3 linked regions of the Mus musculus genome follow. The protein of the gene in region 1 interacts with the protein of each later gene in a pairwise test. Links are inferred from orthologs where the notes say so. Each region holds a gene or a part of one and is shown on either strand. Other genes may lie near its edges. The genes, in order: Cchcr1, Ushbp1 and Stx11.

Evidence for each region.
Region 2: the proteins of Cchcr1 (region 1) and Ushbp1 interact in binary tests that used the Homo sapiens proteins (3 or more experiments, as listed by UniProt). The link is inferred for Mus musculus from reciprocal best matches to the Homo sapiens genes CCHCR1 and USHBP1.
Region 3: the proteins of Cchcr1 (region 1) and Stx11 interact in binary tests that used the Homo sapiens proteins (3 or more experiments, as listed by UniProt). The link is inferred for Mus musculus from reciprocal best matches to the Homo sapiens genes CCHCR1 and STX11.

What each region holds. Positions count from the first base shown.
Region 1 is NC_000083.6:35,523,691-35,527,339, reverse strand, and holds part of Cchcr1 (coiled-coil alpha-helical rod protein 1), read right to left. Parts: intron 2,895-3,649; coding exon 2,731-2,894; intron 2,642-2,730; coding exon 2,506-2,641; intron 2,364-2,505; coding exon 2,253-2,363; intron 2,081-2,252; coding exon 1,931-2,080; intron 961-1,930; coding exon 850-960; intron 732-849; coding exon 625-731; intron 1-624. UniProt on the Homo sapiens protein: May be a regulator of keratinocyte proliferation or differentiation.
Region 2 is NC_000074.6:71,392,905-71,396,607, forward strand, and holds the start of Ushbp1 (Usher syndrome type-1C protein-binding protein 1), read right to left. Parts: upstream 2,898-3,703; 5' UTR 2,810-2,897; intron 2,566-2,809; 5' UTR 2,490-2,565; coding exon 2,436-2,489; intron 2,268-2,435; coding exon 2,146-2,267; intron 1,907-2,145; coding exon 1,471-1,906; intron 1-1,470.
Region 3 is NC_000076.6:12,940,174-12,943,822, forward strand, and holds part of Stx11 (syntaxin-11), read right to left. Parts: intron 3,554-3,649; exon of another isoform or gene 3,335-3,553; intron 1,811-3,334; 5' UTR 1,806-1,810; coding exon 942-1,805; 3' UTR 1-941. UniProt on the Homo sapiens protein: SNARE that acts to regulate protein transport between late endosomes and the trans-Golgi network.

The sequences.
Region 1 (3,649 bases):
GCACCACACCCCAACGCCCTCCTGGAGGCAGGCACCCCATATACAACACTCCAACACCCTCCTGGAGGCAGGCACCCCATACACCATACCCCAACATCCTGCTGGAGGCAGGTACCCCATAAGCAACACCCCAACACCCTCCTGGAGGCAGGCACATGCAGTGCTTTGAATCTTCCAAACTAGTTGGTTCTTCCAAACTAGTCTGACTCTGTGCAAGTTAAAAAGTTTCATCTTTTTATTCTGGTGCCAGGGATTGAAAGCAGAGATACCTGAATGCTAGGCAAGCGCTCTACTACTGAGCTACAGACCAGACCAGCTGTACAATTAGGGTGCCTCCCCCAGCCAGACCAGGCGAGTGTGCAAAGGAAGGAAGGAGGAAGAGAGGGAGGAAGGACTGCACATGGCTCCAGTTCCCATCCCTGAGCTCTGAAGCCACAGCCCCGCCTAGCTGTCCTACTTAGCTTCAGAGCGCACTAGACTGAAGTGCAGGAAGCAGGATCCTCTGCTGTGGCCCAACCACAGCTCAGTTCACTGCGGGTGATGCTGGTGTGATACAGAGGTGACACCCCTCCACCCTGCACCCTCCTGCCCCTCTTCCCCGAGGCTCTTCCAGGCAACAGATACCTGTTCATAGCACCGACCACGAACTTCAACTGCTCTTCAGCAGAGGCTATCTGCTGTTCCTGCCTCCGCCTGGCCTCCTGAGCCTGATCCAGCTCCATCTGCAGGCTCTGGGAAGGATGCAGCTTTGTGTGTACTTTTTCTTGTAGACCTCCCTCCCTGGCACGTGGCCCACACACCCGGGCTAGGGTCTTCTTCACCCTCCTCCCTTAGGGAGCACCCTCAGACCTTGGTGCTCATCCGCTCCACCTCCACCTGTGCAGTTTTGTCTTGCAGGGCACGCTGCAAGATGGCCTGCTCCTGGCTTTGGGAGGTCACTTGCTCCTGGAGCTCTGCTACCTACGGAAGCAGAAGGAGCTAAGCAAGGAAATGGAGAGCCAAAGCTATGGGAACACGGGTGGGAGGGGAATGAAGGAGACAGGGCGGGAGTCTCCGGAGTCGGGCTGCAGAGACGGCCCAGTGGCTAAGAACGCTGGTTGTTCCTGCAGAGTTCCATTCCCCTTTCCCACATGATAGCTCATAACCATCTGTAACTCCAGTTCTCGGAGAGCAAACACCTTCTGACTTCCGTGGGCACATGGTACACATACATACACGCAGGCAAAACATTTATACACACAAAACAAAATAAGCACACCTTTTATTTCTTTCTAAGACAGGGTTTCACTATGTAGCCCTGGCTGTCCTGGAACTGACTATGTAGACCAGGCTGGCCACAGATTCAGAGATCCTCCTGCCTCGGCCTCTGCCTCCTAAGTGCTGGAATTGAAGTGTATCACCACACCCAACTAAATTAATAAGTACTAAAAAAACAAAAAGAAAATAAAAAACCCGGTGTGGTGGGGCGTGTCTTTAATTCCAGCATGAGGGAGAGACAGGCAATCACTTATAGGTCAGAACAGTCTACAGAGTGAGTTCCAGGGCAGCCACAGAACATAGAAACTCTGTCTTGAACCTTCTCTCCGACTCAGGATGCACAAGCCCACACTTTGGGAAACCCTCCTGACCCAAGCCTTCCCCTGACCGTGCCCGTGGCCATGCCCTGGTGGACGTTGTGGCCTCAGAGGCCGTCCCTGACCATCCTATCCATCCACCTCAGTCTGTCACCACTGCTTTTCCGCAGCACTTATGACAATGTGACGCCTACCCATCTTTTTACGTATCCTTCTAGAACTCAAGCTCCGTGAGAACGGGGACTCCTCGGCTCGGGGCTCTGTGCCCTGCACGTGGCAGTCACCCCGAGACTAACTGTCATCACTGTGAGAGACACGGGGTGCGGGATGACAGTGACAGAGACGCAGCCCCTGACCTGGATCCTCAGCTGCGACGTGGAGTCCCTGTGCTGCAGGTCCTGGGCTTTGAGCTGCACCATGAGGGCAAATACCTTCTCCCGCCAGTTGCGCAGCAGCGAGCGGCACTTCTTAGGAAACTCGGGTTCCAAGGGATCTAAAGGCTGAATCTGTACGGGGGAAGAAGGGAGATGGATGTTCTAAGAAAGTGGGGACCTTTGTCCTGCCTGTCCTGCCGTCCACAGTGAGGAGTTTAGGGGTCTTGGTGGCATACCACCCACTACCCCCAGAAAGGGAAGGCCTGCAGCAGGGCAGGGTCTGGAAGATGAGGGAGGGTCCTACCTTCCTGGTCAGCTCCTCTTCCTGCAGGGCGAGCATGTGTGTGAGGCTCTGTACTCGTACCTGCAGTAACTCCACGGTGGCCTGAAGGTCAGCCCGATCCTCCTTCAAGTGCTGGGAGAAGGAACTCCACCAGTCAGGATCTCCATGCTACCTCAGGCTGTGAGCCGTCTCAAGGGCAGCATGGCTTCCCCTCTAGGGCACTGTGCTCTCTCCTCCCAGGTCATGCCCTGATCCCTGGAGTCTTTTCTCTCACCTTCAAGGTGTCTAGAAGCTCCTTTCGTTCCAGCTCCCATTCCTGGCTAGGAAACTCAGGAAGAACTTGTTCCCCCACATACTTCCTCAGACTCTCCACCAAGGTCACCTGAGCTTCCAGCTCTTCTTGGGTCTTGCTAAGATTGAAACAGAAATGGACCAGTCCTCGGTAGAACAGCCTGGCAATGCCGCACCCCTCACTAACAGCCCTGCGCAGCCCACTGACCTCAGCTGGTTCCTGAGCATGTCCGCCTCCTTCTGGGCCATAGCCAGCTGCTTGGCTTCCCCTGCCCGTTTCGTTTCCAGGCTATTCAGAGACTTCTCCAAGCCCTCGGCCTTGCTGGCCAGACTGTCGAGAGCCTTCTGGTGAGCCTGTGTCAGGGAGGACAGCTGTGGAGGAGGAGCATGCTCAGAGAGGGCCAGCCTGAGGGGCTGGAGAGCTCAGCAGGGCAGACCCAAGCTCAGTTCCCAGCACCCAACGCGCAGTTCAGAGGATCCAATGTCCTCTTCTGGCCTCTGAGGCCCTCACACATGTGGTATACACTCACTGACACAACACACACTCACAAGCATAAATAAATCTTCAGGGGGCAGGGCGGCTCACCCCACCTTGGGGCCTTGTCTCTCAGAGAGCCATCTAACTGATCATGCTGCTGTAAGCAATGGAGGAAATCTTGGCCTCTGGTTCTCCACAGTTAGTTTTAAACATCAGCTCCTGCCAGTTCACTTCCCGGTCTCTCCGTGTTCATGCTAACAGCGAGAGTAAAGGACCCCACCTCATGCCTGAGTCTTTCAGGCTGTAGAGACTTGAGTTAGGAGCCCCAAAACCTTTGTGAAAAACCTAGACAGGCCAGCATACACCTGTAATCACCCCTGCTCTGTGGGATGGAAGGAGACACGGGCAGATCCCTGAAGCTCCTGGTCTGGCCTACATGATAAAGTTGCGGGTCAATAAAAGACCCTGTCAGTCTGGCATGGTGGCGCACACCTTTAATCCCAGCACTTTTTTGTTGTTGTTGTTGTTGTTTTGAGACAGGGTTTCTCTGTGTAGCCCTGGCTGTCCTGGAACTCACTTTGTAGATCAGGCTGGCCTGGAACTCAGAAATCCATCTGCCTTTGCCTCCCGAGTGCTGGGATTAAAGTTA
Region 2 (3,703 bases), on another chromosome or scaffold:
GTCATTTATACCTCCCCAACTGAAGCCACCCCCCACTTCAGCCTCCCAAGTAGTTGAGATTTCAAGTGTGCCCACTACATTCAGGAGAATTCATTTTTGTTGTTGTGAGAAGTCTCTGAAAGCTGTGCTAAGCCACGCCCCTAGCCCCTCATTGGAGGATTCTAGGCTGTCACTCTACCCCCCCCAGTCACGCCCACAGCCCTGACTGGAGGATTCTGTATCCCTACTTGTCCTAGTTTTGTTTTGAGACATTTGCCTATCTCGTCAAAGCTAGTGTTAAACTGTGATCCTCTCATCTGAGCCTCTGAAGTCCTTATCATTACAGGCTTGTCCCACCATATCTGGGTTTAACATCACCCATAATCTGTAGGTTTCTGGTCACCTCCACTAAACGCCCCGGGCCACTTCACCCCTCCTCCACCTTCAGGATTATGGTCCACCGCCAGACTGTTCCGCTCACAGTCATCAGATGGCACAAGTGAACGCCTGCAGCAGGTCAGTTCCCCTCAGAATCCACCACACACCAGAGCACACTAGCTTTCAACACCCTGCATACTGTGGCCTTCCCCCACGCGCCTTCATCTCTCCCACTCTGTTCCAGCCACAGTGATCTCAGGATCTGTGGTGGTTCGTGTGAACTTGACATCAACTGGAATCATTTTGGAAGAGGGACCACAATTGAGAAAATGCTCCCCGAAATGGACCTGTGGACACTTTTCTGATTGACAATTGATGGGGAGGGAGGGGCCAGCCCATTGTGGGTGGTGCCATCCCTGGGCTGTTGGTCCTGGTTCTATAAGAAAGCAGGCTGAGCAAGCCATAGGGAGCAAGCCAGTAAGCAGCATCCCTCCATGCCTTGAGGTTCCTGCCCGAGCTTCCCTCAGTGATGGAGTGTGGCCTGAGAGTCTTAAGATGAAATAAATCTCTTCCTCCCCAGTTGCTTTTGGTTGAGGTGTTTTATTACAGCAATAGAAACCCTAAAATAAGTCTGGCATAGCTCACACCTTTAATCCCAGCACTGGGAAAGCAGAGGCAGGTGGATCTCTGTGATTTTGAGGCCACCCTAGTCTACCCTAGTAAGTTCAGGACAGCCAGGGCTCTGTTACACAGAGAAATTCTGTATCCGAAAAAACGAAAAATAAAAAACACCCCCCAAGACAGGATTAGTGTGTGTGTTTGTGTGTGTGTGTAGTGCAACTGACATAGGTAGGGTCTGTAATCCAGGCTAGCCTTGGACTCAGTCTACAGCTGAGAACAAAGTTGGTCTTAGCCAGGGCTCACCTGAGTGGAGACTGTCCCTCTTGGACTTCCTGAGTGTTAAGATCATGGGGTGCAGCCTGCCTGTCTTCCTTGCTCTCCCTCTCACTGTGCTGTCTCTGTTGGTCACTTCCTTGGCACATCTGTCACTGTTCCACATCAGTGTGTCTGCTCCCAAGGCTGGATCTGCCTCTTCCCCAGTCACCAGCTTACCTGTCTCTGCAGAGTCTCCTTCTCTGCCTGGGCGTCCTGCAGTGAAGCCTGAGTGCATGCCAGCTCATCCTCCCGGTTGCACAGGGCTAGCCGCAGCCAGGCGTTCCTCTCTATGAGGCGAGCAGCCTCCTGCTGTCCAGGTCCTGCGTCTTCTTTCTCATCACCAAAGGGCCCCGGAGCCCCCTGGTCTCTGTCTTCTGCTTCCACTGACTTTGGAAAGCTTAGCGAGTGGTGGCGCAAGGCAGCTACAACTGCCTCAAGGGAGCTCAGCCTGCACTGCAAGGTCTCATACACACTGGGTACTGATATCTCAGCAGGGCCACTATCCAGGGGGGCTTCTTGCAGGACCTGGTGGGCTTCCACCTCAGGCTCGCACTGTTCTTCTGGGCTCAAGGATAGAACCGCATGGGATCCCACATCACAACCCTCCTTGATCCTGTGAAGATAGTGGGGGAACCCCAGCCACCTGAGGCTCAGAAGAGACCTGGAGGGCTAACCCTAGGGTCGCTAGGAAGGTAGAGTAGGGAATGAGCGGCATGGCTGGAGGATAAACAGGAAGAGGAGAGAGGCAGGCAGCAGAGGCAATGGGCAGGTGAGTGGCAGGAGGCAGCTTTGTGCAGGGGGGGTGTTGGGGTGTTGGGCTAGAATATAGGGTACATACTAAATGCATCCTACCAGTTCCTTGGGCTCTGAAGGCCAGGACCAAGGTATTCCTGATGCAGCTCAGGTTTAGTCTCGAAGCGTCCATTGTTGGCATCTACTTCCTCTGAGCTCTCAGCTACAGGGTCTAGCTCCCCCTGTGAATGAACCCCGTTTCCCCCCAACACACACACACAGTCTCTTGGCCATCATATCCAGCTCCACCTGTGGAGGACTCCCCTACACCACCACGGGCTCTGAGCCTAGCAGGCCTGGGTTCCCAGGATCCATGGGACTGAGTGTGGCAGGAAGAGGGGCACACTTACAGGCAGAGGATGCCTCCCTCGACGGCTTCGGGGCCGTGTGGCCCGGGCACTCATTGCCTCTGTCACTACAGTCTGCTTTCAGTTCTTGCCTTCGTCACCTTAGAATCCTTGTTTTTTGTTTTTTTGTTTCCTGTAGGATTTTTGGGGTGTCTACTCCGATTGACACATTTAAATATTCATATACCTCTCCAATAGTGCCCACTAACTATCTACTTGTTCCTTACTCCCCCATCCCCCATCTCTACTGGGCATTCTTCTCCCCTCAGCTGTCTGAAGGCGTTTCTCTTATCTGTGCCCCACCCCCCATAGAAGCATTGGGTAGGGACCCTAAAATCCTCTTTCTTCCTACGGCTCTTAGCATCAAACTCCCTCACCCTGGGGGTTGACCCTGCTGCGCTCTTCTCTGCTTCTCCAGAGCACCTTGGGAAAGGCCTGAGATCCAGGGCATATCTCAAGCCATTCTGGCCACTGGCTACTGAGGCTGCGATAGCCAAAAGTGGCCCGGGAGGGGCTGGGAAACAGGAAGCCCCCCTACCCTGATCACATGGACAGTTATTGTTTCGTTTCCTTCTCCAGGATGCCGGCTTCCTCCAGAACGGGAGGAGGATGGAGGACCAGGACCTTTGTCCCGCTCTAAAGATATCAGTATCCCCTTACCCGAGGCCAAACCTTCCATTTTCATTTTGGATTTTTTGTGTCCCCTGTTCACCAGGACTCGCTCTAATGTGAAGGTCTTTGTGTGTGTGTGTGTGTGTGTGTGTGTGTGTGTGTGTGTGTGTGTGTGTTTCTAAAACCAAAAAAAAACCAAAACTGTAGGAGTTGGCTTCAGCATTTGCACAGCTTTTATTTTTCATTACTTTGCTTTACTCATCTTTGTCTGTGGTGGTCCTACTTGTCTCCGAGATCGAACTCAGGCCCCTCAGGATTGGTGGCAAGAGCCTGCACCTGCTCAGTAGCCCACAACGTTTCTCTTCAATGAGTCTGAACTGCTGCATCAGGCGGTTGGAGGCACTGGCAACAATAAGCTTGTCCACAGTGTGTCTGCTGCCTTCTTTACTTTTTCTTTACATTTTAGTTTTTATACAGCGTCTCATTTAGCCCAGCCTGGTCTAAACGCCCGATCTTCGTCTCCGGGTCTCTGGAGTGTTGGGATGACAGGTGTGCACCACCAGTCCTCATCAAGGTACTAGTGAATGAATGCCAACCTAAGTTACATAAGTAACTGAGAAGGCCTTTGGCAAGTCCAAGCCAAGTCCTACCCCGTCAAT
Region 3 (3,649 bases), on another chromosome or scaffold:
AGTTGTTCAAAATAAAGTTAGACCCAAACTGGACTGTGCAGACAGGCATGAAATACACTCAGGATCATCAAACAATGGCACACAGCAAAAACTGCTCTTGTTGTTTATATACAGAATTTCCAAAAGCAAAGTCAATCTAATTGGCCATTAATGTACACATAGGAATGGAGATTAGTTTACAATTACACCCATATTCATATGAAATGAAGTACAAAGATAAATTTTAAATAAATGTTATCTGTGAAAAATCCATAAAATGTGACCAATATAAAGCTCAACTTGAGTGCTTGTTCAATATTTGGTGCTTTAAAAATATTCATATATAAGCTGGTGGACGATATAAAAGGTGAGAGAGGTAAGGAGCCAGTGTCCAGTGAGGGTTACTGTGTAGTGGGAGCGAGCCAAGGGAAGGAGTTCACGCAGGGCTCACACAACATAAATAATCAGAAGTGAATGGCAGCCAATTTACCCAAGGTCAAAGTTCCACGAAAATGAACAGACGTAATGAATACTGAAGTGAATGTCATTCAAAACCATATAGCACCAAGGAACTTTCCAGAGAGGATAAACAAAGGCAACTTTTGATAATGTACTCATACTATTAGCATCCTGTTCTCTTGGCTTCCTCCTTTCAAGACACACATCTTAGCAAATGACCTTAGTTCCTCCCCGTGATGCTGAGTGCTATGTATTTTATAATGACATCACACAACGCCAGTGGAAATCTGTCTACATTAAGTAGCCATTGGATATTAACAACTATTCCTTGAAGGCAGCAGGTGCCGGACTCCAAATCTTGCATCCCAACCCCCACTTTCTCTATGCTCTGAATTCTGCAAGGTATTGGGACCCTCTCCCTCGGCCCAGTGCAAGATGCCTTTGGCTGGGCATCCTGGACATGTTTCCCACATGGCACGTGCAGTGGAGACTCAAGCCAGCGGCTAGTTGACACAGGGACAACAGAAGCAGCAGATGGTCCTGCAGGGGTTCTTCTTCTTGTACTGCACCGCCTTGCGCACCTGCGCCTTGGCCTCGCCCGTGTAATCGAGGGTCTTCTGCACGTTAAGCTCGATGACGTTCAGCGTGTCCTCCTGCTTCTCCACTAGCACGGCCATCTGTAGGAAGAGCTCGTGCACATCGCGAATGCGACCCTCCAGGCGCAGGAGCTCGCGGTGGCGGCTCTCGATCTCGTTGAGCGCAGCCCGCGCGCCCTTCAAGTCGGCCAGCAGGTTCTCGGAGAATACATCCCACTTGCCCTGCTCGAACATGTCCTCAATCTGCTCGCCCGACATGTCCTTGCCCATGATCTCCAGCTGCCGCTGGATGCGGATCTTGCAGTTGTCGCGCTGTTTCATCTCGGCCTGGTTGTACTCGTACATGGCTTGCTGGAAAGCGCGGGCCAGCGCGCTGTACTGCGCGTGTGAGATGCGAGCCACCGCCGAGTGCGCGCCGTGCCGGGCCTCGGCCTGCTCGCTCAGCTCCTTCATGGAGCGCAGCTTCTGGTGGATGCCTTCGCCTCGGGTCTTGATGGCCTTGGCGATGGAGTTGGTGTCGCGCTTAATGCTGCTGAGGCGCCGCATGGACGTGAGGAAGCGGACGTTCTGCCTCCCCAGGCGCCTCACGTCTATCAGAAGCAGCTGGTTTTCATCCTGGATGTCCTGGATGACCCTGTACAAGGACTCCAGGATGTGGTCGGTCTCGAACACTATGTCCTCCCGAGGAGCGTCAAAGTCATTGTCCCCATCTGGGAATTGCTGGTCATAGCTCCTGGACAATTCTTGAAGCTCTGCAAGCCGATCCTTCATTTTGCCTACAAAAGAAACAGCAGTTAGGATCCTTTAATGATGGTCAGATCTGTGCATTCAGAGGGGTTGAAGCTCAATGTAAGGAGCTTGCTCTTAATTCCTTTTCCGTGTGGGCATTAAAGCGGCAAAATGCCCTGTGACATTTTATTTAGAAGTAAAGAAATACCGTGACTCAGACCCTTAGTTATGTTTCACAGCCTCTACACGTCTGCAGTTCAATATCACGGGCACCCCCAATTCAATCAGCAATTTAAACTTTTAGATTGCTTTGGGAAACAATTTCTTTTGTTTGCTTTTTGTTTCTCCACCATGAAATTAGGCACACAGACACAAGGAAAAAAACTCAAAAAGGTTTGTAAACTTTTCAATAAAGGCAGCTTACAAGACTTTGAAAAAGACATTAAATGCTCTGTATTTTGTGGCCAATTGTCACTAGTAAATATATTCTCTTGTACTTAGTACAACTTTTAGCCTATGTGGTGGCCAAACCTTTAATCTCAGTACTACAGAGGCACAGGCAGGTGGCTATCAGTAAGTTGGAGGCTAGCCTGGTCTACACAATGAGTTCTTACAGGCCTGGGGCTAGGGCTAGGGCACTTAAGATGAGGTTCTGCTCTTGCTGAGGATCTGTTTAGTTCTGAGCACTCATGTGTGCCGCACTAACCAGCCAGTCTAACCAAATCAGGGAGTGTTAGCTTCAGCGAGCACTCACAACTGCCTGTGACTCCAGGTGATCCAATACCTTCTTCTGGGCATCATGGTCACCTGCACTCACGTGCACATACCCAAAGACAGACAGACAGACAGACAGACAGACAGACAGACAGACACACACACACACACACACACACACACACACACACACACACGAAACTAACAAAAGATGAAAGGAAAAACCCCTTTATCAAGAGCTGAGCATGGTGGTATGTGCCTTTGGTCCAAAGGCAAAGACTGGCAGATTTTTGTAAACTTGAGGCAAGCCTGGTTTACATAGTAAGTTCCATACTAGCCAGGGATGCTGTGTCAAAGTAAATAAGCAAATAAACGAACAAAGGAATAAAGCAAATGCTGTAAGGCTGCTGAGGAGATGGCTCGCAGAACCCTGATCCCTAAGCACCTGTTATTATAAGCCAGATGTGGCAGGGTACACGGGTGATCCCAGCCCTGGGGTTACACAGACAGGAGGTCAGCCAGTCTCACAAAACCAGGGAGCTCTAGCTTCAGCAATAGACTCTGTCTCAAAAAAAAAAAAAAAAAGGTGGAGAGTGACTGAGGAAGACATGTATACACTCATATATATATATGTGTGTGTGTGTGTGTGTGTGTATACATATACATATACACATACACATACACATACACATACACATACACATACACATACACATACACATACATATACATATACTCATATATACTCATATACTCCCACACAGGCACACAGGCACAGGAACACACAGGCACACGAACAAATGCTTTGAAGCAAAATAACAACAAAATAAAGGCAACTGTAGTACGGTGTTACAAACCAAAACTTGGACACTGAAGTCCGTTGCAAAGGTGCGTAGCTGTGGTTTGAGCTGCTGGGGACGCTGAGGCAGGATGAGCAGCTGGACCCTGGGAGTTCTAGTACATCGGCAGAGATCCAGGAATGACGTCAATGCACAAAAAGCTACAACGGTCACAGCGTCTAGAAGGCCATCTAATGACATGAAGATCCCGCATGCTCTCTCAGGTAGGAAAGAGAGCTACAGAGAAAGAATTGCAGCAGCCCCACATGATTGTCTGAATCAGATGTGAGCAAGATGCATCAAAATGTTGAATAACGATTTTCCTAGAGTTAT